3 linked regions of the Arabidopsis thaliana genome follow. The protein of the gene in region 3 interacts with the protein of the main gene of each other region in a pairwise test. Each region holds a gene or a part of one and is shown on either strand. Other genes may lie near its edges.

Evidence for each region.
Region 1: the proteins of MYB50 (region 3) and AT1G61660 interact in a two-hybrid assay, tested with the Arabidopsis thaliana proteins (one large-scale study listed by BioGRID).
Region 2: the proteins of MYB50 (region 3) and ARF9 interact in a two-hybrid assay, tested with the Arabidopsis thaliana proteins (one large-scale study listed by BioGRID).

The regions. Positions count from the first base shown.
Region 1 is NC_003070.9:22,750,772-22,761,120, forward strand, and holds AT1G61660 (basic helix-loop-helix (bHLH) DNA-binding superfamily protein), read right to left. Parts: upstream 5,601-10,349; 5' UTR 5,401-5,600; coding exon 5,078-5,400; intron 4,958-5,077; coding exon 4,549-4,957; intron 4,453-4,548; coding exon 4,345-4,452; intron 4,259-4,344; coding exon 4,193-4,258; coding exon of another isoform or gene 4,109-4,192; exon of another isoform or gene 4,064-4,108; coding exon 3,998-4,063; intron 3,904-3,997; coding exon 3,850-3,903; coding exon of another isoform or gene 3,832-3,849; exon of another isoform or gene 3,751-3,831; coding exon 3,599-3,750; coding exon of another isoform or gene 3,595-3,598; exon of another isoform or gene 3,236-3,594; coding exon 3,232-3,235; 3' UTR 2,840-3,231; downstream 1-2,839.
Region 2 is NC_003075.7:12,446,779-12,458,603, reverse strand, and holds ARF9 (auxin response factor 9), read right to left. Parts: upstream 7,462-11,825; 5' UTR 7,013-7,461; coding exon 6,997-7,012; intron 6,906-6,996; coding exon 6,799-6,905; intron 6,719-6,798; coding exon 6,620-6,718; intron 6,444-6,619; coding exon 6,387-6,443; intron 6,297-6,386; coding exon 6,141-6,296; intron 6,058-6,140; coding exon 5,973-6,057; intron 5,888-5,972; coding exon 5,797-5,887; intron 5,708-5,796; coding exon 5,543-5,707; intron 5,461-5,542; coding exon 5,347-5,460; intron 5,268-5,346; coding exon 5,195-5,267; intron 5,112-5,194; coding exon 4,964-5,111; intron 4,885-4,963; coding exon 4,415-4,884; intron 4,284-4,414; coding exon 4,096-4,283; intron 4,015-4,095; coding exon 3,867-4,014; 3' UTR 3,235-3,866; downstream 1-3,234. Other genes in the region: CSLG3 (cellulose synthase like G3), read right to left, coding at 79-207, 364-513, 1,472-2,113.
Region 3 is NC_003070.9:21,312,880-21,321,866, reverse strand, and holds MYB50 (myb domain protein 50), read right to left. Parts: upstream 5,121-8,987; 5' UTR 5,017-5,120; coding exon 4,884-5,016; intron 4,796-4,883; coding exon 4,666-4,795; intron 4,590-4,665; coding exon 3,908-4,589; 3' UTR 3,675-3,907; downstream 1-3,674. Other genes in the region: AT1G57570 (Mannose-binding lectin superfamily protein), read right to left, coding at 82-150; AT1G57565 (SWI-SNF-related chromatin binding protein), read right to left, coding at 1,654-2,232.

The sequences.
Region 1 (10,349 bases), 1.4 Mb from region 3:
GTCTATGACAGGTTTATCATCACACAACCTTTGACTCGCCATCCCAAACATGTATCCTAAGGCAATCCCGACTGGAACAGCAACAACATGCCACTTTCCACAATCTTCATCTTCTCCCAAACTCTAGCCTTTCTTCCCTTAGTCCTCATTTCCTCTTCATGAATTGATTTGGGATCCTTAATCTACCGATACTAATACACCATGTACCTACATTGAGGAACATTGTATGCACCAGCAGCCATTATGCCTCATCTTGCTTGGTAATTCTTGTTTACAAGACGAGCTACAACATAACGACCAACAAATCTTTCCATGAAACCTAAAAGATTTACAACGTTCTCCATCAAGACGTATTTGGGCTTCAAGTATAGTCTATGATATTCATGAAACCGTCACTTCATTGTTTTTTTTCATCTTGAAGTGGTTTATCTTTATTTCTAAATCGGTGTAAAACCACTAAGTCCCTGGCATGGAAGACCCCCACATACAAGATGCACATATTCCTAAAAGAACGACACAAGGTCGAAAAGTTACGAAAAGTGGGGAACAAGAAATATTTGGAGGATTTACATGTGTAATTAACATGACTTAGCTTACAAGAAGTGGCAATAAATTTGACTTGAAACCCTTCGTTACGAATTCCTTAAGTTTTTATTTGTATTTTCTAATGAAACCATATACAGATTAGAGGACAACATGAGAAGGCCAAAGCAGTAATTTAAAAAACCTTACCCCAATCCATCATACGGCTCCCAAGTATCTTCTTCTGATTTGTATTCCTTCTAATACACCTAAAAATGATGTAACATAAGAGAAAGTTGATATATAGTTAATCCCATGCATGATGACTAGCATTTAAAAAGAGGACTCTTATAAACAATATACGTGCTGATTGTCTTGCAAAAAAGGCAATAGCACGAGGTTTTATCTTTTTCATGTAAGCTCTTTTATTTTGGACTGATTTTTTTCCAAAGAAAACCGTACAGTTCTAGTTTAAATAGATAATTTTATTTTACCGTTCATATAAAAAAAAAGCCAAAAATAAAGTAATTTTACCAATGTTATCTTTGTAACACTATGTCACAATTTAAAGGTTACTTCTGTGATTCTAAATATATTGGGAACAATTAACAAACTTCATAAACTATATGAGCAATTTCATTCGAATGTTTTATGGAAAAAAACCTTCACGTAAAAGATTTTCAAAAGAAAATCTGTAAATGATATCAATATATAAAGGATATCAATATAAAACGGATATATTTTGATTCATGATAGTAGAGAATATATAAACTCTTTGGAGGAAAATAAGCCGTGTGTCTTTGTGATACTCGGAAACTTAAACAATATTAGAATCAATGTGATTTATTTATAGAAAAAGGAATAAGGCTTTTAAGCTTCAATCAAACGAAGCTTATAGCTGAAGATATTAAGAACTTGTTGTATTCACATAAAGCAAAAAAGATGAAACTTGTTCGTCCTTTATTGTACATCTAAAAGACTAAAAATTTATGCTCATAATGTTTTCTTTTGCCTTTTATATTCATATTACATTATACATGATCCTCCTTTCTTTTGGCGCATGGCATATTTTGTCAAACTCTATTACAACATTGATTCTAATCGATCTACAGTTGAAACTAGTGAATCGAATTTTCAGGTAGAAGTTAAATTTGATTTGAAATGTACTCAAGTTTATGCTATCTTTCTCATATAATATCCAATATTTTAGACTAGTTATATGTTGTTTATGTCGAAGATTGTTATTTGTTAGGTACGAAAAATTTATATGAGCCACCACATATATAGTTGTAATCGACCATTTTCTGTAATTTATTGGTTAAGATTTAAGAAGACTAGAAGAGGGACCGATGTCACTAGATTCACAAACTTAGCAACTTAAATTTACATGAATCCAAGTTACATATTAAACCAATGACAAGAGCCGAAGCACCTCATGAATCCAAAAAATCTACGTAGGACGGTAACTTTTGTTGATCCTGAGACAAAGGATATAGCCGAATATGAGTTGCAACCAAATCTTAACTTCTCTCTATCAACGACGATAATCTTAGTTGCAACATGAAAAACATTCATAAACAAACATTTGCCGGTTCTCCTTTAGTCGCGGAATGATCTCTTTCCAATGGCCAGAGACATGTTGTGGTAATCAAGCCTAGTACTTCTTTAATTTATGGTTCCGAGAACCATATTTGAATGTGTAGATTCACCGTTCCATACGTTCACTTTCGACCTTAACTCCATTTTCACTTTTTAGAATCTTGAATCCTGACTCCATGCTATGTTCTTTTAATTTGTTTGTACTTTGGAGAAAACCAACATTAATTTCCAATAGGGCATAATTTGAGATTTTGTTTTTTAATAATAAATACGTACTAATCATGCATGGGACTTGTTGAGTATTTTATCGATATTGAGATCTAAGGTAAGAATTCTGTTCTTGCATTGCATATATTTTTGAGTGGCATTTGATAGATTAGACACACATATATGTCTTTATAGTAACATATGAATAATCTTTTTTCTGTAAACATAAATGATGTTGAATGCAAATCAGTATATATTTATCGGTATCTATACTAAAATCATATATGTATATTCAAATCATAAAGTAGGAAGCAGTGTGGGCCGCTATTCTACTGGCTTCCACTACTGAATTTCCATAATATATAGTTCTTAATCGAACCAACAAAAAGTTGAATCCATATGGACACATATTTATACATGGATATGTACGAACATAAATACATGCATGTATCCAGAAAATGTGCAAGTTTGCAAGTTTGGACATAAATGTAACTATGTAAGAGTAACGGCACTATCACAAACAATTAGGTTATAAGTGTTGGTTTTGTGATTGTTAAAATTAAAATTTATGATTAAACATGAAAAAAACAACTCTATAAAAACAACAAAGAACTTCATATGACAAACCACCAATTATTATGTTCTCTAACTTTAATAAGTGATTAACAAAGATGTTACCAACGACAAAAATATGTATATATATATATTCAAGAACAATGACAGGAACAAAAGGTTATTCAACATAAAAACAACCCATATATGCTAAATTCAGCAATAAACCCCCCTTAAAATATTGAAAGAAGAAGAAAATACATTAAAAATTATTGTTATGCTTTAGAGTCTCCAAGCTGAATTTAGCATATGTTCCCATCCGTCTTGACAACCACAACCCTCTCTCTTTAATCACCTATATATAATTAAAAAGTGAAATTTAGGTTAATTATTACATATATAACATGAGAGTATGTAAGTTAATGTTTTTAAAAATATATCTATCTATTAGTTTATGATAGATTATTATCCCAAATTTTCTAAGCCCTAAATCATTCTTGCTTTCGTAGTTGGTCCCCTCCAACACTATTGTTGCCTCTGCCCACCTTTGAAGAGTCACCTTCTTCTTCTCCCATCTCTACTTTTTCTCCAAGTAATGATTCAATCTTTGATCATGACTTGTGAATTTTATTTTCTTTTATTTTTATGCTAAGCATTATTAAATAATATCTTAATGCTAATTAAGAACCGTATGATATACGTAATTCACCTTCTCTACCTGAAATTGTTGCCCCCAAACGTTGGTGTCCAAAAATCGGCTGTTGTTTCGTTAGCCACCGGAAACGTGCTTGATATTGGGACGAGACATAGACCATGTCCTCTTAGTTCGTGATTCTCATTTTCATCTTGACTCTTCGATTTACCAGATATCTACATGAATCCATACTGAAATTAGTACTTATTTAACCATGATTATAGCACGAAGACTCCAACTTGGACAAAACTAAAACACTAGATCGTGTATTGAACCTGCTGTTGTTGTTGGTTCGAGGCACCTTGTTTCATGTATGGAGTGCTTAGAACCTGTATTTAAAAAACATTAATATGCTTAAAAATTTGCTCATTTCTAGGGTTTTATGAATTCAGTGAGTTAGGAGAGAAATCACAAGAAACGTACAGTGACTTGGTCGTGAAGGAACTTGATGTACTCTATAGCTTCTTGGAGAACAGATGCAGTATCTGTCTGAAGTTTAACCCAAAGATATACAAAATAAACAAACTAAGAAGCTCAATACATAACCAAGGGAAAATAAATGCTTTTGGTTGTATATATTAAGCCATATAAAATAAAGTAAACACATAAATCATTCACCTTTCCGAAAGGTGAAACTAGTTGTTGTAATGAAGTTATCTGGTCCCTTAGATTCTCTTTTCTCACCTGTTACATATACAATCCATTTTATCCACCAAGAAATTGAATTAAAATAAAAGGTCTTAAACAAATCTTGAAATATGATCATGTACCTTGAAAGTTGGCAACGGTGAAGGCGTGGTGACTCTCGGTTTCTTCGCCGCAGATTCATTATCCTTTGCTCTCTTCAAAGACTCACTCTGAGCTCTTGTCTTCAGATTCTTCTCAACAAAAATAAATAAATAAATAAATTCAATAATATAGCCACAAAACTTATATAGTAGCAAAATTATTTTGACATATATGAGATAATTTACCTTGGTTTTGTCCTCCAAACGAGTAGATATTATCTGCGGAGTGGTTACAAAATTGCTCGGCGTCGTGTTGTTTAAGTTAGTGGTTGATGAAGAATTCCAAAAGGGTCGAGAGTTTGCGTTGTTAGAGAAGCTGTTAATTAGTCCATAAGCTACTTGATGATGAGGATTTGTCTTATTAGCCCAAGAAAGTTGAGGATCGTTGATTGAACCACTTGTGGTGGAGACAAAGTTGTATGGACTTGGTTCGGGATCGTAAAAGGTTCGTATCAAGCTTGAGGACGAAGAAGTTGATGGAGATGAAGAACAAGCTGGATTAAGTATATAAGGTGAAGTAGTTGTGGATAAGAATCCTTGGCCATGATCTTGATCTTGTGAGCTCCTTATGAAGCTTGAGTTTAAGTCTTCTTGTCTGAAAAATACAAAACAAGAACAAAAGAGATCTCATGATTATTATTAAAAATCTTCAATCTTGTTCATCAAGAAAGTGAACAAAAAAAATTAAGTTAGGGTTTTTCTTTAAGAAGTTTACAAAATGGTTTGGTTCCAATCTGAAGAACAATTTGAGGAAAACCCTAGACCCATCATCTGCAACGTCGAGTCCATCGTCACGGTACTTCCTCCACTGTCAGAATCCGCCTCTCGCTGCCCGAAAACGATGTTGTTGTTGTCCGTACAAGTCATCCTAGATTTGAGATGATTCTCTTGCGAGCTAAAATCATTGGAAGTGATAGCCGCTCCGAAGCATGGTGACAAGAAATGATCCGAAGGAGACATAACGCTCCTTGGCGAGTTCCACCACGCGCCACCTCCGCCACCACAAATCGATGCCGTAGCTTTAAACTCCTCCGCCATATTAAGAGAATCAGAAAGTTTTAGTATAAGCTTTCTACTAGATCGTTGCTATACGAAGGTTAAAGTTTTTATATATATGAGTTTGTTGTATGTGATATGAAGAGCATAAGTGTAAAATTTTGATATATGTTTATGAGGGTGTGTATGTTTATATAGGCAAGTACGGACAAGTGTGTGGAAATTACCGGAATTTAGTTGACATTTGAAGACAAAAACTTATATCATCATAACATTCCTATGTGATTTTTTTAATTAAATAATCTTGATTTTAAATTTTTTCCTTAAGCTAAATATTTTATTTGACAGAAAGATGTTGTAATAATAGTGTTCCTAATCCCTCAATTTTCTTCTATTATTATAAGAACAACTGTCTTTGTGAGATTTGTTTCTTTGCTGCTTAGCTTTTCGAAGAAGTGATAATGATCCTCATTTTATAAATATTTAAATATTTAATTTGAGATTAGATAGGTGTTTGGTACTATTATGCAAGATGCCAAAAGGGGATACTATTTATATATAGACATTATATCTAACGGTAACCTTTGATTGGTTGCCATCAAATTCTACAAATCGATCGTTTATATTAAGTGGTCAGAAATAGAAAACATATCACGATTTTGATTAAATCAGTTTTTAGTAATTGTATAGACAAAACACGAAAATGACTGATTATAGTCTACGCATGCGTATATATATAAATGTACATAAATATGAAAGACTAAAATTTTGAAACTTGATATTTTTTTATTACTTTCATGCTTCCATACATGATTTTTATCAGATCACTTTAGTAAGCTTAGGAAAAAAAAAAACTAATTAGTCTATGCAAGCGTATTAATAATTGTTTTATTATTTTGGTAATTATAAACGACTAACCAATTTTTGAACAACGTTTCTTCTAATTAATTATCCATACTTTCATACAGTAATGATTATCTTGAAGTTAAAATATATGTTTTCTCAATCGCATTTGCTAAAAAAAACTTTAAAACATATATCTTCAAGGATTAGACTCACTTATTTTCAAAAGTAATATTCAAAGATTCTTTCGAGATAAAAGTTGAGTCCTAGGCTAGCTCGTTCAGGTTTGAGTTTTCAGTACTTGGGAGGGATATTTATACTTTAACAGGTATTACTATTACTAAAAATTAGTTTTAGATCGAAAAAGCGATCATAGGAATTTTTATTTTTTTAATAGACGATCAATTGTTTTTAGCTCGATTGGAAAACGCAAAATTAATGGCAAAACCTAGAGTTAGCACTTGATATGAGTTCGATATTTATTTCATTGTCGATCGGATTCTTTCGGTTAAAAATAGTACTATAAAATAAGATTTGTTCTTGTGGCTTGAGGCTAAAGGGATAAATGGTATATGATGACGATCGTCGATCGATGCTGAGTTTCGATCTGTGTGTCACGTCACCGTTTCTGGACCTATTGTGTTTGTGACTTTTTTCACAATCTCTTTATACCAAACGGTCCTTATTCTTTTCAACTAGCTTTTTCTAAATTCCGTAAATATTTTATTCTTCTAATAAATTTGATAAGTCAATCAATTATTGCACTTTAATTACAAGTCATTGTTTTGTTTTTCTTCTTTCTCTTAATTCTTTTTCCATTTTATGTGATAGACTGATAGCCACACAAAATATCAAAAAATGGATTTGTTGAACCTGATAATAGTAACCAGTTCTGTTCTTTATGATCATTATACGGCTCGAGGCATAGTGAACCGGGCTGTGTCACCGTCCATAAAATATACAAGTTTTATCAAACGATAGGCATAGATAATAAACATAATTTCACCGATATCCATGTATATAATATTTATATATCTATCTCCTTTCAAAATAAAAAAAAAAATTGGACATATTCTAAGCTAAATTGTGCTAGTATCGTTATTACGAAATTCAAATTTACGTTATGTATCTTGACAAAAAAAAAATTGTTATGAATGCTTGAAGAATGGTATTTTTACGTTACATGTAATACAAAAAAGACACTAATCATTTATGGTAGTCCAATGATTCAAAAATATATTTTGTAATTGGGAGACCATTGTTCATGGTTAGTAGAAGTGAAAGTCTTAAATGTATTCGGCAAAAAAAAAAAAATATCAAATGAAACTCGTAGATTTTTATTGTTCATGGCTATTCGAATTGTGAAAAGTCTTAAATGGTAAAAATATGACACAAAAATATCAAATGAAACTGGTAATATTTTATTGGATAATGGCTATTGAGGACAAATGAAGACTATAAAGGCCCCAATTTATCTAATTATTATTAAAATATTAATTAAGAACTAATTGAATTTTTTTCTTAATGGTCTCTCTATGCGACACAATGCATTTTGACTTAAAACTTAAAAGAGCTTTGAAGCACTGAAATACAGAGACAGTTAGGTCAGATCCATGCGACTGACTAGTAAGTTTTCATCGTGCAATTAAAATTAATTTTAATATAAACTAAGAAAGTGTCAAAACAAATTTGATCAATTTGCTTAAGCCCACCAGTCCACTCCGCCAAAAATGAAAAAAATAATAATTCATTATTGCAACGTGACTAACTTTTTATTTATTTATGAAAACACTTGTTTCGTTTAGGTTGATATCGATAAAATAAAAGTTATGAAATGAACGTCAAAAGAATGTGTCACAGCCACCGTATGACAACATAAGTTAAATCCGAAGAATCTTTGTCAGCCCATCGGTTGTTTTCTCTAACGGTCTGGTCGATCCCATCGATATGTACACCGACACTCCTCTAAGCTCTTGTCGGTCGATATTTGGATTTTATTATTATCGGACACATATGCTAAATTTTATAGTCCCCAATCTTATTCAGCTTTCTTCCATTTTCTGTTTAGTATATTCATGGTGGCAACATATATAGTTGAATCAACGACTAGTTTTGAAATATACCGCTTTTCACAATGCAAGTATACGAACACTTTCGGATGTTGGAGTAAAACTTGATCACGAACAATGAGATTCATGCACTCGTTGTATGAAAAAAACTTAGTTGACGAAGAATTGCTCCAAAATACGTATTGCTATATACGTATATAAAGTGATATAGACACGTATATACGATTAGAAGCAATATGAACATGTATAAAATTTAAAGTAGGTGAAGGAAAACGACAAGTAGTCAAAAAATAGGACCCACACGGCAAATATGAGTGGAGACTTTGTTTGGCGCAGATAGTCGGATAAGTGTCAGCGACTCATTCTTTTCTTCAAACCCCAAAATCAAATCATCATATGTCCTAACAATTTTTTGTTTTGTATTTGGAAAAGCACATGTTTCTTTGTTTTTATGTTTATGATAACATTCTTTTTACACGTAAGTAACGTAATGCTGTTTTTGGGACTCACGGGAGCTCATATGTAATTATTATTTTCATGTAGTTCACATAAGTTCGAAAACTAATAAATAATTAAGTTATCTAAAAAGAGTCCTAGTATTATATGAATCAAATTCTCAAAATGTCCCATATAACAAATTATGTCAACAACATACGTACTAATCTCTTTTGCAACAAACTCAGCCTTAATTTTTTAAACAAACTAAACATATCGAAATTTAAAAGGAATACCTCATATTAAAATATACTATAATCATTAAAATTGATATAAATATTCGATATATTGATATATATAAACCAACAAAAAAACCCAAGTAATATTGGAATTCAATTAATACTGTTACTAAAGAGTGTATATCATGGCGAGATGTGTTAAAACTTGTATAGTTACGTAATTTTTTAGTGATGGTGCGGATAAAAACTTCGAACCATTAATTGTCAATTATACAGATAATTTGCTATCTCATACATAAACTATAAAATATTATTATGAGGCTTTTAACATGCAAAAGATATTAGAACACAAATAATGTTTTGTTTTATTTTTATTGGTTGAAATGAAAGTCACTGAAGAATAACAGTCGAAGAATACAAGCGTAACGCATATTTCTCTCATGACATGCCATTTCTACATCCGATTTTACATATCAGTTGTATTTCTATTTTTATTTATCTATCAAATTTTTATTGATCGTAATATTATATATCTCATTATCTCATACTATGTAGGATATATGTCATACTGACGTAAGGATGAAATGCAGAAAACTACAAAAACGAAGCTTTTTTTTTTTGCACGATTACAGAACGATGATGATACGATCGGAAAAAATCATCATGGCCGTGACAGACACGTGGGGTAGTGAGCTCCATGAATAAAGAAACGAAATTGTATTCCTTGTAGCAATGACGGTCAAAAGAAAAGCGCTTTAATTAGTCCACTCCTATCTTAAGTTATGGTTATTAATTATGATTTACGGTCAGTTTAATTATTCGCTTAATTAATTACAGTTTATATGACAAAATCAACATAATGTTCTTATGGTTTCTTTGGTAATTTATCAATTTAAAATTTATTACATGCCACTCATTCTCATAATAGATGTCGCAAATGTAATATCACAACATTTGTAGAGTGTTTGATGACATGACAATGACATAGTCATAAGGTGTGTACATCTATACTTTGCATCTTGTTTTTCTGTTGAAACCTGAATTTACATCGAATTCAAATATTTATAAAATGGATTGTGTATGATTTGCTACTTCTTATTTTTCATATAGATATATTAATTTACATGTGACATATAATTACTTAACTTATATCTATTATAGTATTATTATACAACTAGCTAACTAAAAGTTACAAATATGTTATATACTCTTAGCTGAATCTTTTGATTCATATATGTTATATATTAATTTGTGTCCATTTACGATCAATATAAGTTATTTTGTCATGGTGAAATTAAGGAGTTGTTACATTTTAGATTTTACTTGTATGTTTTTTTTTGTTCACAATTCATGCAATCATCTAACTGATAAAAACAAATTTGGCAATAAAGGTAAGATTTTAAGT
Region 2 (11,825 bases), on a different chromosome or scaffold from region 3:
TAATAAAAAGAAAATACGGAATTAACTAAAATTAAACGAAACCAAAAACTAATTATAGATAGGTTTTTTAGTTGATACCAAGGTATTAAGAGCACCGGCTTTGAAATGATGTGATGAAACTTTACTCTTCTCTCTTGAAACGTAGATTAGGTTTGGCATTATATATTTTTTGGTATCGTCCATATCATTCTCACTATTTTGTAGCACCTGTCCTTAAATAAATGTTAGTTGAGATTTTGTCAAGACAAAAGAATTAACATATGGCAAGGTATAATTGTCTAGTAAATATATTCAAAATGCAATTTTCTTATGATATATAGTAGTGAGAAAACAATATTTGAACTTTTTTTTTCTTTAAATTACCTGAATAATTGTGGGATGGTCATGACGAGTGAATTTGTCGGTCCACAAATCGAATACCCCACGAAATTGATCGCATGTGATAAATGCAGTCTCAACTTTTCCACTCTCCACCACATGTTCTACTCTACTCTTCATGTCTTCGTACATCATCTGTTACACGGTGAAACAATTATACACCACACAATTTATTTATTTTTCTCTTGTATAGTTTTTTTTTTTTGACAGCTCTCTTGTATAGTTTATTACGATTTATTTATAACACTGGTTGAAAATATCTTACTACTTGTGACAACTTTGTTTACTACATGTAATAATAACATAGAAGTATTACTAAATTTTAGTGTACTATTGAGTTCTCATACACTTTTTACTTTTACTATTTTTTTAGACGACCAATTTGTCCTTTTTATCATAGAGATATTTTATTGAAATTGACAATATTTGGTCAGTCTCTCCATTTTCTATGGATATGTCAACCAGTTTTGCCATAAAATATCTTTTTTTTTTCTGAACAAGTCTTTCCATTTTGTTTTAGAGGTTCAACTTTAAAATTACTGTTTAATATTTAATTCATAATTGATGATATATCAAGGAAATGCTTACAGTAATGGTGGGCAGGAAATATCCAATTCAAGTTTACTTTACTTATGCGCAATCATGGATAACTGAAAATTCAAACAAAGAAAAACTTCTATCATTTAGATTACTAATACTCCTATAGTCGTATATATTTTTGGGAGAAATTGTTGTAGGTCACTACGACGAGTCACAGTCTTCCAAAGTATTAGGTCATAAAAGAACAAGATTGCCACTATCGTCGAAAAGAGATACGATAAGGTTCTGAAGTGACTTCTTCAACACAACAATCGCTCCCCATTGATTTAGCAAATAATTATTTTTTCTGTTTGTAGTTTTGTACTCATTTTATTTTTTATTTGTCATTATTAATTACTCCTTCCACGAAAAATATAAATGTTTTTTTGTCCAAATTTTTTTATTAAACATGTTATTCCCCACTATTCAACGTAACCAAAATGAATGACAATTTTAACATTCGATAAAAAAAAAAACATTCCTAATTATAAGTGATTAGTAGAATAATACGCACCTTGATATTTTCAGCTTCATCACTCCGAGAACGTAACTTTGATGAGAAATAAACTTCAGGAGACCGATCTTGAACATTATTCTTCTTGCAAAAAGGCAACCAATGCTTAGAGAACTTAGCTGCCTCCATAAGAGCAAACAAAGTCAACGACGAACCTCCATCGTCCGATACGTAGACTGAGATCTTATCGGACGGATACTCGTAAGCCATCACCGATAAGGCAGTGTTGACCACCATCATCGGAGGCTCCTTGTACGGATCAGCCGTGCATATAAACACGTCCAGTTTCGGGAAGTCCTCCGGTTCAGCTGCATATTTCTCAGGGTACTCGGTCCGGCGAACCGGTTTATACCGGAGGGAAGTTGTGGTTGCCCACATGAAGGCGAGAACAATATCGGAGAGGAGAAGGAGAGACGTGATTAGAGTTGTGTTTGCTGTGAGAAGTGAGTGTACATGGTGATACATGAGGGCTATGATGCCACACGTGTGAAATACGGCGTAGATTCTATATGGAATGGTGCGCCGGCAAGGATGACACGTGTGGAGGGTTGTGTCGCCGACCGAGTGTTTTCTGTGAGGCTCCATCGTGGTACTCTTTATTTTTAATAGAAAGACAAATTGTTTTAGAGAAACTTGGTACATAGAACAAAACTCACCATTGATATTGATATTTTATAGGCGATTTTTTTTTCCAGAGTAGACATTCTACACCTCGATTTTAGGTTGGAAAAGTAAATCACTGAATAGTGCTATAAGTTTTTAAAATAAGTAATTACATCTATGCAATTTAAATACAATGTATACTTCCGTCACTAGAATATTACTTAAAATTTAATAAGTTCAAATTTAACATATTAAAATAATTTATAACAAGTTGTTTATCAAATATATAATAAAACAAAGTTATTTATTAGTAAAATGAGTTTACTATTATTCGGTATACACACATACATATAAATTCCTGATATAGATACTGACTGTATGTATAAGTTGGTATTTGGTGAGCTTTTAATGGTACAATTAAATTTAAACTTCTCTATATATGGAAAGAAAAAAAGAAAAAAAAGAAGAGGAAAAGATAGGGATTGTGAGATCCACTGCCTTCACAAATCTCGGCAATAAATAACCTACATCATCACTTCATTATCTCGGCAGTAAATAACGTCATTAACTATGAACGGTATCGACGTATTAGTAAAGAGATTCGTATAGGTGTATTTATGTGGTACGTATATAAATATTGGACCGTCAGAAAATATAGATATTTGGACCAAGCAACCAGATATGCACGATTTTTTTTCCCCAAATGATACACTAATTAAAATTAGATTGAACTTATATGTTGGATAATCATTATCTAATCTTTCGTATGTGGGATTTAGAATAATATCCTAACATTTTCTACACACTTGTCATAATCAAAGAAATACTATATGTACATATTATAAAGACAAACTTCACAATTTATAATCTCACCAGATCAGCATGTGTTATACTATGTTGACATATTGTAGTTGTTTTGCAGCGAGAATGGTTGTACACGACATATTGGACTAATCCAAGTAATATGCATAACCCAAATGATATCTAAAGAGAAAAATAACTCTTTTTTCCTTTGCAGCATTCGATATTTTAATGCATGTGAGTGAATAGTGATATAAGGGAATGATACACTTTACAAACATAAGGGGATCCAGAAGTAGTAGCGAAAAGGTGGTCCATACTTCATACAATTACGTTTGTGAATATGGTGGCAAGAGCGGCCACATACATGTCCTCACAGACAAAACATCAATAATCTTGAATCATTGTTAAGGTTAGTGGGAAAACCTGAAATAGTTTTAGGTCTAGAGTTTTGTTTATTTAACATTTTAAATATTGATAATATATGTACCTTTGGGGATTTGACAAATACAAGAAAGCCATGTTTGAAATTTTATATATACATTAAAACTTAGATGAAAAACAAAATCAAAGAAAACACAACTACGAAAAAGAATCAGAAAACACGAGAGCCATGAGGTATAATCCCTCTTTAATCTCTTATAATCCCAGAGTCCCAAAAGTCCTTCATCAAGTTATTCACAAATCTCATTCTCTTTTTTTTTTTTTTTTTTTTTTTTTCTTTCTGTTCGTTACATATTTGTTTCTCTTACACACAAGTTCCTAGAAGAAAAAGAAACTTCCAAAAGCCTATTTTAAAAGTAGAAAACCCTCTCCCCATAAACCCCCTTTCTCCATAAGAGGCTCCAAAAAAACGAGCCATTTTTTTTGCCTCAGGGGATGTAGTTTCTTGTTTAAGCCATGCGCAACAAAACACAGACACAAACAAGATAATTCCGAAAGACAAAGCAAATAAGAAGGAGACGAAGACTGATAGAGAATAGAATAAAAATTAGTTGGAATGATTATCTGTTTTGGAAGTTGTTGTTAGTGTTGTTTCAACTTCCCTTAACAGCATCCGGAGTTGGTTCCCAGGCGTCATTTTCTTCACTTCCTCTTTCGACCATATGAATATTCTCTTCACCATGTTGCAGAACTCACTGCACCACCAAATTAAGTCAACAGATATGAGTTTTGTGTAGTGATTCTATTGACTAAGAGATAAAGAGTAAGTTACTTACGGCCATGGGTCATCACCGACAAGCATCATATCTCCCTCATCGTCTGTGAACACTATTTCCCATTGATTGCGACTCCGCAGTTCCCCTTTTATGTCAAACAGCTTCTCAATGTCATCTATGAGCTCGTTGTACCCCTTTAGCGCATTTAAATCCACAGCCCTGCCCACAGGTACGCCTTGCATCTGCACCTGTTCAGCGATAAAGAATTCAGGATCCTGTTCAGTCCCGCAAACATTATACATAATGTGTATCTGTTTTGCAACTCACAGATTACACAATGTATATACACTTCACGGTAGCCATGTAGGCATATATATACCTTGGTACGGCTTCTTGTAGAACTGCTTTGCTTGCTTTGGACCTCTTTTGGTGATCCCTCCGCAGGTTCCTGCTTTTTCTCTTCTGATACTTTTGAAATCTCTGATTTTGGGTCTGAGTGGCTGTCCATAGTCGGTTTGGATATGTTGATTGGTCGCATGGGTGCAGTTTTCTCCTCAGGAACCGCTAGGGAGGAACTCATCAGATCAATTCCAAATAATCTATAATTAGCGGTTGTCTCAGGCTTCTTCTGCTCGACTGGGGAAACCATTTGGTCGTTCAGTGTTGAGTCTTTTGCTACATTTGACACAGAGTAAGAGTTATTTAGCCAGTCAGATTTCTTAGCATCCTCATTTGCATCACGATGACATTGCTGAGGAGAACTCCACTGTGAGGTGATGCACGATTGTGCAAACTCATGGGGTTGCGTCAAAACAGAGCTCCAAAGGTTTGAAGCTGTTATGCCTACATCTAAACACAGCATGTGAGATTTAGCAAGGAAACTTAAGCTATGTACTAGCAAATCAGTGGCGGTTAGATTGTGCCTCACCAAGTGCAGATACTTCACTAACTTGACGGGGCCTTTTGTTCTTCAGCATAACTGATTTGGGAACGTTTTCTGAATTTACAAACGGTTCAATTTCCCATGGTGAAACCTTATTGGGTCTTGAAATCGATGCAGGCTCATCCCAATGAACCTACACAAACATGTAGCAAACTGATTGAGTTTTCACACTTAATAAACACTTTAAAAAACATGTAAAAGTGGAAGGAATTTTACTTCTAAGCATCGCCATTTTGAGTCTTTCCAGTGAGGGGAGCAGTCTTTCACACCAATAACCGTGCCAGAATATCTTTGTAAAGAAATAGATGTGTGAGAATAGCTTTGGGGACAAAGTGCAGGATACATAACAAAGAAAAAATTCAGACTACCTTCTTTCAGGGGAATCCTCTCCCTCAAAACGCATCTTAAATCTCATCCCTACAGAGAACTTATTGCTCATGGCTTCTAGATATTTGTTCAAGCTAATGATGAATTGGCTTGTCCTGCTCAAACCGAGAGTAATTCGATAAGCAGAATGTCGAAAAAACTCACCTCAGATATTCCCATAGAGTAATAACTGTCTACCTTGGTTTATAGTATACAATGAACATAGTTTTCGTTTGAGTAGCATGGCGTGCAGTAGCAAGCACTCCCAGATGCATACTATGACTTGATATAACGGATGAAGGCATACTGCTCTGTTGAAGATTAGCACGTCTGACTCCAACTCGCAACTCTCCGTTCTCCCCTCTGGAAAATATAATATAGCTTGGAAGTTCAAAATCTACCAATGGACCATCAAAAGAAACAAAACAAGGTAGCAGCGTGAAGTATAATACCTCAGGAATACAAAGGTGTCCCCAGCAACCAATCTCTTTGATGTAACAAAGGTGCTCCACCCTGTCGTCAATAGATGCCTCCGTGGTTGGCCTGTTTAATGAATTATCATTCATTTTATACAATTATCATGGATACATAAAGTTTGATCTGAGTTAACAAGAAATGGATTCACCACCTCTAAAAATATGCTTGAATTTCCACTGATAACCGTGCACATCTTCGGCTACTAACTCCTGGGTCGGGGTTTGCTGAGTCATATCCTAAAGGATAAGAACATAAGAAATTCATATCAAAGGCCATTTTGGTGGGAAACAAAGCACAAATAGTAAGCGTGTCCTAATACCAGCGGAGGAAGACATTCCGTGGCATGTTTCCTTAGAACAGAAAAGCCACCATGGGTGCTTGTATCAGACGCTGTCAAAACCTTGCTGAAAGAGTGAACTTTCGGCCTTTGCAACTCAGGAGGAGAGGGATCAGGACTCATAGGTTCATCAACTTCCTACAGTTTACATTTAGAGATCCACTAAACATTGAATTTAAGGAAGTTGCAACAACAAAAACAATCAAGTGATCTAATTGTGTCACTCACAGTTCCAACAGGGATCAAAGTAATCTGAGCATAGACCTCATCCGTATCTTTCTCCGCCTGACAAGAACAGAAATGAAGAAATCAAACAAGATCCAGAACTTCCACTCATATTTAGTCTAATCATTTCCAGCTTCTTCATAGATTTTCTACAATATCCATCTATATATATTGCTTTAACTAATGGACGACACATCATCAGATAAATTCGGTTTTGCTAAATGTGGAAAGTATACCTGAAGACTAACGTTCATAACATTGCAGAGAATCTTAGGAGGAAGAACAAAAAGAGGCTTCATCGTATTTAAGTCGACTTGTTGCGTTGACGCTTCGAGCTGAACCACCAAAAATAGAAATGTTTCATTAAAAAAAATCTTTCTCAAAATTTCACCGATCTAAAAGAGAAGCTGCTTACTTGTTCCATGTGACCTTGAGGAAAATAATAAACTCTTTCTTGAGCTTGAGGAACATCAACAAGAGGTCCCGCGCATAATTTCCATAACTCATCGTACAGATATTCACCTGTTTCACCACACAATGTACACCGGTTAATTTCGCCGGTAATGTCGCCGGAAAATTGAAGAAAAAAACAAAACTCCGGTCAATTTCTCACCTCCGCGATTTGCCATCAGCTGATTAAATCTTCTATCAGTCACACCAAAACACACAGTCTCTCTATCTCTCTCCGATGAAGAACCGGAAGCTGAAACAGTCGAAAATAAAAGAAGGGTGCGTAATAAAGTGAGGAATTAAATTGAAGAAGAAGGTCCCTTGGATTCCGTCTCCACGTTTTCTTGTTCTCTAATGCATGTAAGTAACGATCGAGAGAGATCTGAATCGTAACGCAACGCAATCCTTCCTGCTCTGTAACTGTAACCTCTCTAATTTCTCTCCCGTAAAACCAGCTTCTATCGTCTTCGTCTCCCAAACAAAGAAGACTAAACTCTTTTTTTTTGTCTCTCTTCGTCACTATAATCGTCAAACAACGCCGTTACAAGAAAGAATCTCTCACTCGCTTCTCTCCCGTCTTTAAGTTAACACCTCCGTTTGCTTTTATCTCCGTTTCACTCTCTCTTTTTTCAATACTTTTATTTTTAATAAATTGATTTTATATGTATGTCTAAAATTGGACACCTTTTCGTATATAATAATACGCTATACATTAATTGTATAACCAATTGTAAATTCCTTACTATACTTTCTAAGACATGTTGTTATCCAGACAGTACCAAATTTCTAGGAAATAGCTTGATTTGAAGAAAGTAGAAAGTTATTTTGAAATTAAATGTATTGTTTATAAAAAAATATATGATAGAAATGCTTAGCACAACAATAATTGTTTTCCTCAATTTTTGTTTGATTAAATAAAAAAAGAGCTAGCAAAAAAAAAAGCGTAGCTTTGCTTCTCTATTTAAACCAAAAATCAGTTTTAATTTTACAAAAAAAAAAAAAACTTTAATTTCAAATTTATTTGGTTTATGTTTTAATACACTTTGATATTTTAGTCAAAAACAAATAAATAATGGGTCTATGATAAACACCTTTATACTGTATAATATAGAAAATAATTGGTTGTTTTACACTGTACTAATTGAAAGAGACTTTGTAAGTTATAATTATAAATAGCTTTTTACTTTTTTTCTATACGTACTAAACAATTAAATGCAATTGCGTTAGTGGATGAAGGAATTAGTATTAGTTACTGGATAAATCATAAATGTGTTGGCTTTTAAGGCTGGTACGGAGCGTGAGGGCGCGTGCCGTTGTCGTTACGGTAACAAAAGTCGATCAAGAGACATTAAACAGTAACACCCGTCATCGTTAAGAGTCCGTCACTTTTACCGTTTGCTCTTATGCAGGCAACAATACTGGCTAGACTTGGATTAGAGACGAAGCAGCTTTGACCTCCTTCTTTGGATAAATTACATTTCTACCACTAAATGGTGGGACTAACATAAGCATGTGGGAAGTGTTTCCATCTCTGATTTTTGTTCTTTTCACCTTTTGCAAGAACTTTTTTCCAACTCCACATTTTACTAATTAGAAACATCAAAATTTATTTGAGTCATGATATATGTTGATCGTTGCCAAACAAATATTATCCGGAAAAATTACTTAAATACTTAGAAAAAAATGTTTTGATTAAATGTTTTTTTTTTAGAATTTTGAACATTAATATACGTGAAATCTTTTGAACCGTTAAAAAATGATCGATGATGGATAAATAAGTAGATGTTATAAATAAGCGATTAATATCACTTATAACATCAAGATTAAGTTTCCTAAAAATCTTATGATACTCAAATTGAAGGAACTCAAAAAGTATGACAAGCGACAAACGAAAAACACTAAATAAATCTATTTTACTAATTTAACCAAGATATGTAATATAATAATTTTTGTTAGTATAGTTATGTTTACCATATAAATTCAAATCCTTATAATGTAGATATACATATATGTTGGGTTAGTTATTTATTTTAGTTTTTTTATATGATAAGATTATAACTCCCAAATATTTATTTCAATACAAAATTTAACATAATAATTTTATTTCCTAAACATTTGTACCATCACTAGTAGTGTAGTGCATGGATTTTCGTATAGTAAACTAAGTGCGATCTTTAGATGATCAATAAATTTAAATTTCTGCATCAAAATCGTATATTTGCTGTAGTCATTTGGCAATGAATAATGCCAAACTTTTTAATAAATAATAAGCAAAATATAAAGATGAAAAAGCCTATACTCCATAGTCCATATATTTATATACCAATTAACTAATTACTTTATCGTTTAGTTCTAATTAATTATGTTTAGTATATTACTAATTATGACAGAAAACGTCACGTATGACGTATTTTTGACAATTTCTGTTCCCTTTAAGGATATAAATAAGCAAGATGCCTTAAAACCCACCACCACCATCTCCGGATCTTCTCTTTCTCAATTTAGACTATTTTAATCGTATTTATTTTAGTAATAAATTGGTATCTTGTCCCCCGTATATTCCCCAGAGCTTGTTCAAACGAATCTCAACTGTAATATAGAATTTTCGTGTCCACTTAGAAAGCATTCATTCCCATATATATCTCCCACATGTTTGGTCTCAAATGAGTTCAATCATTTACTGATTTTTAGTCAATTTAGTGGTACTAATTCTAAGAATCTCAATTGTTCATCTATTTTTAACCCAATAGTCAATCGGCATACCACTTCTTCAAGCCCTTATCGAATTCACTCGCTCATGTAGTCATGTGTTTTGTAGAGATTTTTAAGTAATATCTTCTTTCTTGTTTGATTTAATTGGCTAATATTTTTTTGGGGGAAACTAAAGGTATAACTATTGCAAGAACATTGACTTGATGATTATGTATGTGTGTTTTTTTCTCTAAAAACATTGACATTGACTTGGTGATTCATGAGCAAGAAGGTAATTTCGTGATTAACAAGGTAATGAATCTTCTATTAAAATAGTAGGTTACTGATTCCCTGCTTCTTGATGGCGTATTCCCTGTTTTCACCTCTGTATAAAAACATACGTCACAGAAAGTTACTCATATTTGACAGCAAAAATCTAGAAGCAATGAATATGTTCATTTAAAAAAAAAAAATATGATATGTTCAGAAAAAAACTTTCATCTTAAATTTGCTTTAGTTTGTTAGGTCATGTGTTCGATATTCTTGATTCTTGAATTTACTATTTTACATATCGAGGATTAGTGATCAGTAAACAACATTTTTTAGGTCTATACTATCAAATCCTGGCTTTGATTTAAGCTAGGTATATATCACAAGCTATAATTAATATATATATATATATATATATACACATGTTTTATACACACAGAGAGGACAATATATATGTATATATATGATACAAGAGTTAATGGTAATGTTTTTGTGGAACGTGTGTTTCAAATAAATACGAGACGTTGCGAGTTTCTCCAAATGCGTTTCTGTTGCCAACATGTCCACGAGTTTTTTCGTGATTTATCTTCTTATATATCCAAAAATTTACTTCAAACCACATTATTTAGCAACGAGTTTTGTTATTATTATTATCATTCAAAAATCTCGGAAAATCTTTGTATAGTTCGAAATCTAAGAAATGGGTTATAAATGTCCTATAAGTGGCTACGGAAAAGGAATGATAAGTAGGCTTTTACGTACATCTACACATAAAACCCACAGAGGTCGATAGTGGGAAAGATAATTAGGGTTTAAACATTTATAACTTGGCTTTTAGAGTTCTATTATAAATCATAAAATGGTACAAAAAGGAGAGAAACTTCCAATCAATGTAAGGATTTGTGTGAATGATTATCTTTACACTGCTCATTATTGAAATGGATGGAAATAGAGTTTTGTATAAATAGCTTTATTGCTTGACACCTGTCTGTTAACATAATGGACTATACTTTATACTATGTATATGCTCGTGTGTGTGTTTATTTAACTTATATTTCTAATCAAAGAGTCCCTTAACCCCCTCTTAAGAGTCAAGGGTCACATTTGGAAATTATTAAATAATTAAAATGGTACTTAATAGTAGTATATGATACTGATAATGTAGTTGAACAAGTCATCTTGCCGTGAAATGTTTAGTAATTTAGTAAATGAGGATTCTAAGATGCGTAAAATAAAACATGAATAAGACCTATAAACAATAATTAAATAAGTATCTATACGTGTGAACAACAACACTCTAACTATATCTAGATTTAACTCCATTGTTTTTCTGGACACGTTAACTGAACATGGAAAACAATTTTTGAATGAAGATCTTAAAATTTAATACGTACTAATTTTACAAAAAAAAAAAAAAGAATAAAGAGAGAAAATAGCAAAAGATATATAGTACTATGATTGGCTGGACAAAGATAGAGTTTGCGCACCCATGTGGAGACCAACCATTTGAATGTTTCATGGCCTATATATCCTATACACAATTCATTATTTTTTTGGTCGTCACACAATTCATTTATTAACGAGTGGAAATATTTAATAAACTATGGTATACACTCTAATCGCAATTTAGTCCAGATTCATAACTCCTATGAGATGGATAACATATTACTTATTTTTCATATAAATTATATATATATATATGTATATAATTGTTTATTTTTCAAAAATAACACAAAGTAGAATAACTTTTCAATCCTACGAAAAGGGTCAGTTTCAGTTTTACCACTTTGAGGTTTTTTTCCAGCTTCTCATGCATTTAAAAGAAACAGTTATTCAGAGAAGAAATTAATAAAATAATATTAAATTCATGAAAAGGTAACAACATCTAACAATGGATAAATACTAAAGTGTAGAGGAGGGGTTAGACAGAAACATACATTATCATCATAGGAGAAGTTGATGTCCTGAACGTACGTGAACTAACAACGATATACATTAGCAGGCATTGATGGTTCATGGTTTCAAGTTTTA
Region 3 (8,987 bases):
TTTCTTTGCGCCTTATCTAGAGTATATATTATCACACAAGCAAAAAATATATAGTAGAATCAGTAGGATTGTAGATCTAACCTCAATGGCATCTCTATTTCTCTCCGCCAAACGTCGTCGCATTAGTATTGAAAGGAGATTTCTTTCCATATTTTCTTTGCTTCCCCAATGCTGTCTTAAGATCTACACATCTTACAAGAAAGCACTTGGACAATTAGTTACCAAAAAAATGGAAACTTACACCAACTCAGTAAATTGCTTTCACTAGATAGAGATGAAGGAGTAAAGAATATATCTGAATCGAATGAAGCATATATGTTTAACCTTGTCCTTGTGTAGTTTTTATCAATGTCATCAACATATGTATTTACTTCCATTTCTTAAAACATATAGTTTGGCTCCATCCTGGTTGTATTTGGACAGTTAATTGTCCTCATTGCTTTTCTTGGACTGGTTTAAACAATTTGTGATTCTGAGGACAATTAATTGTCCAAATACATATAGTTTGGTTTGTAGGGTATCAGGTTTATCAATCATTGAGAGGAACTGGAACTCGATTCTTATATTCTCAATGTTTCCTTCACTTAAGGTTCATAATCTTCCCATCAAACTACTTGTTGTAAATCGACTAATTCTCTGGGAATTTGTCTAAGTTCTTAGTAATCGATGATGTGATGATAATCATGATATACATTAGTATACGACTGTACAAGACTAAGAAAATATGAATATGATCATTATTACATCACTACAAGAAAACGGACGAGTAGCATTAACATGAACAGATTGGACAAGAAATTCCGAATTCATAAGATTTTAGGGCTATTAACAATAAAGAAAATAAGAAATATGACCTTGATTGCTGAGGTCCTGAGGAGAGAAGAAGACTTGAAGATTGGAGATTACTCTGGTGAACAAGTGAACGTGGTGATCCATAAAGGAGGCGTGATCGTGTCTATAAATTATATACAAGTAGTGGGTCACAACTCTATTTCTCTGTCAATGGTCAAATGCACATATATATATATATATATATACATTACTTTTTTGAAGAAAAAAATATATATATTCCGACTCACCGGAATCAAACCAACGACCTAAGAATTACAGCAACTACTACACTGTTCCGCTCTACGAACAGAGCTATGGTCAGAATGCAAGTATACATAAATATATATATATATATATATATATATATATATATTTTCTTTTGTCAAAGATTGCATGTGTATAATTCTATTATGAATATACTGATCCAGTCAGAGGAATATGCTACAAACTTAAAATATTAACATTGAATTGATTACCAAAGTTATGTTTTTACTATTAACCAAGTGCAAAAACATAGTAAGAAGTTTCACGATGGAATTAGTGATGCAAAACATAGTAAGATATATATTTTAGTTTTCCAGTTCAATAACATCAGTTTAGCGTTTGGTTAGCGAAAAGAAAAACAAACATAAAACACACATTTTCATTAACCAAAAGATACATGTTCCAAAAATGGTACGGATTGCTACTCTACAGTCTCTACTCTTTTTTTGGCATGAACAATACAAAAAAAAACCTTGGACGAAAAGCTTCATCTTCTTCAACAACATTAGTTTTGTTTCTTCTTCAACCAATCTTTTTCTAAGCTGCTATTCCATTTTTCTAGGATGAGATTCCATCAAGCATTCTAATAATTGAGTTTATAGAGGAGATTTTTTTATGATCACAAGCCAATATTTCTTCCTCCTCCTTGGCATCAGGTCCTATTACCGAAGACAAAGACGGTGTAAACTGATAAAAGTCTAGAGCTGAAGTGTACCACCCTGGAATCGAACCTATGACTTCCCACTTATTAGCTCTCAGGTCGTACCCATGAAGCACTTGCTTGTAATGGTCCTTCTTCAATATCTCCCTCAGCATTAAACACTTTCCATCGTAAGCCTCCGGGTACCAACTATATAGCATCTTCTCGTCCAGTACCCCGTTCCGGATTTGCTTCAAGACGACCCACTTGGGATCAGTAAGAATGTTCTCTACTGCATAAACGTAAAAGACTTCTTCCGTCGCCGATATCAAGATTAAATTGTTATCTGCGGCTGTGAACAACGTTTTAGAACAAAGTTCTTTGGGGAATCTGATCGAGATCAGTCGTGCTTTCTCTGTTTCAGGGTTGAAAGCTACGATAGCTCCGTCATTTCTTAGCCAGTGAAGACCTCCCTTCATATAAACAGGTTTTTTCATACGGTCATCAAGATTACTTGTGCAGCAAGTTAACGTCGTTTCCGATAGTTTCCATGAATAGCCTACGTTAATCTCAAACTCATATGTTGTCTCATTGCTGTTTCTCACCTCGTTTATGATGACGATTTTAAAACTATTGGTTGTTCGATCAATCTGATCTACAGAGAACCCGATGACTTGTTGACGACCTCGTCGTAGAGTAGTAACCCAAGGGAAAAAACTTTGACCTAGAGTGATTAAAAAAACGAAACTTCTTTGTGAGAGGATTTGCGACGCAGAGATTTTTATTGAGGAAGAGTAGAAGAAGGCCAGAGCAATAGCCTAAAATGTGACACTCCGTCAAGGCTTCTACTGTTCGCGGTGACCTAGAATCACCGTAAAGGTGGTAGCAGAGCAAAGGGGAGCCATTGAATGCTATGTATAGCAAACTTGATCTGACCCGAGAAAAGTATTCGGATGCAAAGTTAGGGGTTTTGGGTATATGAGATTGAAGAGATCTATTTGTGCATTGTATCATGGCCAGAGATCTGTGGTCTATTCTGAAGAGAATCTCGTCGAGGAGATGATGAGGTAAGGTGTCCATGACAGGAGAAATTAGGACTTTTGCTTTTGCTTACTTCTTTTGATGTTATTTTCGGTGGGTTTTTGTAATGATGCATTTATAGACGTAATTAAGGAAACAGATTGGGCAAAGATTTGCAATTAATAAAAAGAAAATTTAGTTAATTATCAATCAAATTATATGCATATTGCAATCTATAATTAAATTTCAATAGATTGTGAAATAAATGAATATTGAAGGGCAAAAGATTCATGACTAAATTATAAGAAAACGAATAAGTGTCAGAAAAGTAGGAATAATGTGATTGGTTTTTAATAGGATTTCTAAATATAGTACTTATAATGTAAATGTAAGAAAATTAATTAATTGGAACCTCTAATAAAAATATTTTAAATTTAAAACAATTAGAATGTTATTCAAGATAGAAAAAAGGAGAATATAAATATTTATTTGCATGTAATAACAAATGCAAGATCGTAGAACTATGTTTGAGTTTAATTAAAAGTCGTAGAGATTTCATTAGAAATATGTTTTTGACTTAAAGTAACACTTATTGTTTAGTGGCTTCTTTAAATCACAGATATTTAAAGGATCGGGGGTATTACTTACAGTAATTTTAATGTTTATATAATTTAATAGATTTTCGAATTTTTTTTGTTTAGTGATTTGAAATAGTCGTTTTCTCTATCTTTTGTTTTTGTCTTTTAACTGAATATAGGGTCTGAAGTCTGAATAATGGTGAAAGATGTGACTTTGGACCACACTGTGTTCTAGGAAATAGGTTTCTTAAATAAGTAATGCCTGCATTTGTATTCTTTTTTCTCCTTTCATATATTCAGAAAATATATGACTTTTGATTTTTGTTTGGTGTAAATGACTATTGATTTGTCGACAGCATCATGATTCTTTTCAACAAAAGGATTGCACGAAACTTATTTCGATACCAAACTAAAAATTTACAGACGTATATTGATGAATCTGAGCAAAATGTTCTATATGACACATTTTCAGGAAAGGATTGTGCTTTTTTATTTTTTTAACGTATGGCCAAATAGAACATTTGATCCATTCATTACACGTATCAATATGTCTAAATCTGATAAGAAAAAGAAACTAAAGGGTCTGACCACCAAAAGAGAAGGCCATTCTCTGAAGATCCTTGGGGAATACGTCACAAGCTTGGCTTTGGCTCCAAGGAAAGGCAATGTTGGAGTTGAAATCCGTCTCTGATTTCACGTAAACTTGGGTAGAGAATAACGATTCGTTTAGGTACTCCTCGGACCATTTCATTTCTTCCATACCGGGATTGTTGAGGTGGCTTGTGGTTCCACTGTTTGATTCCCAATTAGGCTCTGACACGTTTACATGATCCTGTCCAGAGACAGTGCTTGAAGTGTTGTTTGGAGGAGGAAGAAGAATAATCGAGGGTTTCACGCATACTTGTGTATCAAAACCCGCATTTGAGACAGAACCATCGTCGATGTTGAATTGCGTTGGGATCATGGAAGAGAGCGAATTTCTGAGTGAAACAGAGTTGGATTCTTCTTTCTGAAACGCAGAATACTCGGCAAAATCAGACGTTTTCTTGACAAACAAGTCTTGATTAGTTTCTGAGGAAAAACTTGTGGAATTGTTATTGTCGCTTCTGTTTGTTTCTTTACCAACCTCGGAGAGGGGTTTATGTGTAATAGGGTCAATGCCTTTCTTCATCAGCTTCTTCTTAATGCACGAATTCCACAAGTTCTTTATCTCGTTGTCGGTTCTCCCGGGAAGCCTCGCAGCAATTTGCGACCATCTGATACAAGATAACAGGGGATTTCAGAAAATACTCTGTTTCAGAAACAGAGAATAATTGTAATTGTGATTGTTACCTGTTTCCAAGAACAGCATGAAGCTCGACAATGAGATTCTGTTCCTCTGAAGAGAAAGCTCCTCTCTTTAAATCAGGTCTTAAGTAATTGATCCATCTGAGTCTACAGCTCTTTCCACATCTCTCGAGACCTATAGAATCATACAACTCTGGTTCTGTAAATGACTTAAGGAACAAAAACACAATTTTAGGCCTTTTTCGGAGAAGAGAGAGTTTTACCTGCGAGTTTAGGGACAGAACTCCAGCAACCATGGCCATGTTTGGTAATGTAATTGAGAAGTTTCTCATCTTCTTCAGGAGACCAAAGACCTTTTCTCAGCTTTTGTTTGTAACAACAAGAATGTCTCTTCATGTTGCAATGCTGTGGAAAAGAACAATGAAGAAAAACTCTGGTTTCTTGGTAATGTATTGATGAAAGAGAAAGATTAATGGATTGTGAAAAAGGTTGAGAAAATGAAGTAAGAGATGTGCAGAGACTAATACATAAATAGAGAGGCTATGGAACCGACGAAAAAAAAGAAAAAGGAAACAAAGTCACTTTCATAAGAAGACTTTTGTTGAATTTTATGTTTTCTTTTTCTGTATTTAACTTTCAGAGAAAAGAGACAATATGATGTGCTTAGCTGGGACCAAAGACTACTCATGTATAAGTCATGAGACTCGTGTCTTTTCTTTTTTTCGTGTGTGGGTGTGGAATCTATAGAAACTAATCTTGTTTTCAATTTCATTATACTTTATTCAATTAGGTTTAAATTTTAACTATAGGTGCTATTCGAAGGTAACTAGTTTGGGTCATTTTGACTAAACCTATGAGAAAATGAAAAATGCGTTGTATATTGATTGGACTTCTCGTTTTGACAACCTTTCATGTCACCTAATTGATTGTAGTCGACTATGCAAATTTTTCTCTTTTCGATTGGGTTTAGATTACTCATACCGCCCTAAGAAATCGACTAAAGAGTTGATTTTCGAAAAACTTTTATCGATACCTATGGCTGGTTTGAGGCTTATTAGTTTCAACGAGACTTGTGATGATGGTTAATGTTTGGAATGTTTAAACTTTGAACTTATGTTTATTTAGTTTTGAAGAGATTTATGATGATAAAAACAATGATCTATTTCATAAATTATAATTCTAAAAAATTTCATTCAAAAGATTTCTCTAAATTTGATTTTTTTTTTGACCGGGCATGTTAATTAATTAGAGTGAGAAATATATTGTACTTGAACTTGTACCTTGAGATGGCGGTTGAAATACAATTGTTTCAAACTTTATTTCTTTTGGTTATAAGTTGTTTATGGATTTTTTCTTTATTCTTCGTTATAATTTTTTTTTTTCATTTTAAATAATTGAGCATTTGACGAGGGAATCTCTTGATGCAGGAACCACCAAGAAGCATGAAGTAGCTAGACAATTTATGTTGGTTAATCGGTTAACAAAAAAATTATGTTGGTTAAAATAAAGATCGACAAGACATATCTCATAATCAAACACAATAAAAAAATAGGGCTACTTGATTCTATTGTATGAAATCATGTAATAACGAAGCTGCCTTTAAGGTACTTCGGATTAAAAATTCATCAAATGATTGAATTATATTGGAAAATCATATAATTCATTGAAAAGACTTTCGAATCGAAATTGCAGACATACAAGCTTTTAACGAGTATCTTTTGCTTATACTATTAAATTAAGTCGAACAACACGTTATTGAAAAAAATATTATGCTATATACTAATATTATTTCCTCCCAAAAAAAATCATCATCCTCTTCATCAATCATATCATAATTAGCATGACAATGATCCGCCGTAAGCCTTCCATTATATGAAGAAGGTCGGATTTTGAGGTATTGATTTTGATTAGATTCGAATGATGCATGCAATTATAATATTTTTGGTTTATGGAGCAAAAACTTTGCTTTACTTTTTTCACTGTTCAAAAGGATTCTTATAATGAACTTCATAACTATTTTTCTGAGGGTGGAATTATGGTTTCTAACATAAACCTAGATGGTAATTTGTGGTGTTATCCATGTTATATATATTTGTACTTTAATATTAGGAGATGATAATTAATTATTTTGGCTTTTCATTTCGAATCTCAATTCCTTTTGTATTGGTTATGCAAGTTTGTTTTGCAGCTACCATGTAAGTAAAAATGTCATACGAACTTTAGTCAAAACTACTTTTAAATTTAAGTCTTTGCAATTTAACTAGTTGTGTATATAGGAAAAAAAAACACTACTTAATTGATACTGTAAACTGTTTTAATAATTGAAGATATCAAAATATTAGTGGATGTTATATTGGCCATTTTTTTTTTATATCCGCAAAGTTTGGAACCAAACTCCGTAGATTTTCATAAACCAAAGTGAGTGAATTCACCGCTTCACAAATGAAACTTAAACTAGAGGGCTCTAGGATGACCCTAGTTTATTTGCTACTAGACCGAGCAACACTTGATATTGAACTAAACTTGATAAAACAGAGATTTTGATACACTCAACATATACTTTTATGTTGAGTGTATCAAAATCTCTGTTTTAAGTTGGTGAAGCGTGTACCCGACAGTTTCATGTCCACATAGCTCAACATTGTTGTATTTATTGATTTATGTGGGCGTTTCAATAATCTGTGTAAATCCAAGATATCATTGTCGTAAAAAAAGGCGAGGGTCAGATTTGTATAGCGACACTCCCCGTGAAACAGTTGTGCAATTTTACATGTTTACATAGAATTCCAAGTATTTAAAGACCAACCCTTTGGCCGATATATGTATAATTGTACATAACTAAATTCTATAAAACGTAGACGATAAAATCATAATGTGGATTTTATGCATGTCGTTAAATGGTATGGTGTTATTTAACTTGTTCATATATGTTTTTTTATTAACGAGTTTACTTGATAAATGTTATTCACTTATTTCACGTAATATTACGGTTATTATACAAGTTTAACAATCACATGGAAATATGTACTATTTACGATTTTTTCATCGCATTTTTTGTCAAACAAAAAGGTAGAATTAAGTTATAAAAAAGCCCTACATATCAAAAAGTTATATTGCTGAAGACGAACGAATAGTTGCCATGCTTAACATGCATTGCATTGGAATGGTCAAATAGAGATGCTATGAATATATGAGCTGTCCTCTCAAGTCAATTGTTCAATAACTCGTTATATTATATGTAATTTATAAGCTAATCATCACTGTCCTTTTCGTTTGTCTTTGTCATAAGATTGACAGAACCAATAAAATCTGAGGACGATTAAATTAATATATAAAGAAACTAGAGATTTAATATTTTGAACTGAATAAAAGTTATATAGATTACATGAAGGATCGTTGTCATTATCACTACCACAAAACTTTAACATCATTCACCGACAAATGGAAAACATTAAGCTGTTCACTTAATTAACACGCATCTCATATATTATTTCCCTCGTATATATTAAACTTTATAGATGAGATTTAATTTCTTTCAACTACCTATGCAAAATTTATTTTATTTGATGTTTTGTGACAATTATATTAATCTTTGATAATTAGTTTTGGTTAAACTTTTTTTTTTATTATCCATTTTTGTCAACCACGTAATTAAATTAAAAAAATATATCTTAATAGATTATCTAATATGAAAGAACCGAGTTTACGAAATTTCATTTTTAAATTAGTTTTGACTAATGGGTCTCTAAGTTATTACACCCGACTAAATATGTGGAGTCGATAAGTGATAGCAAGTTAGATTTACTTGTTCTAAGCTAAACTAACAAATATAGATAAGTTAAGTAGATTAAAACTTACATAATTGAATATTTACATGTTTGGAAAAAAAACTTGAGTAAAAGAAAAAAAACTTGATAAAAATCACTAAAAATTATGTTTACACTTGAGTTAAAAGCAAACATTTTATCTACATAAGATGATACTAATACAAACTAATGGCCTATATATATTTGTAATCCATGAAATTTAATTTTATTTTTGTAACAGACATTATGATTGTAACATTTTAATTTCTTTGCCCAAAAACAAAACATTTTATTTTTAAGTTATTCGACTTCTTATTTGTGTTCATCCCATTTTTTTGTTTCCAACCGATGAACAACGGAAGGTTGCGTCAAAACGCAAAGGGTTGTGTTGTTTGTGTTGAAGTGGAGCTCCTTCATTTTAGGAACAAGCAGAGGACGTTACACAATCAAACTCAGTTTCTTCCCTTATTTAACGTAACCACTAATTCTATTTTCTTGTTCTTTTACAAAGTTCATAAATGGAAATGAACACGTAAGAAGAAATAAAACAAAGTTCAAAAC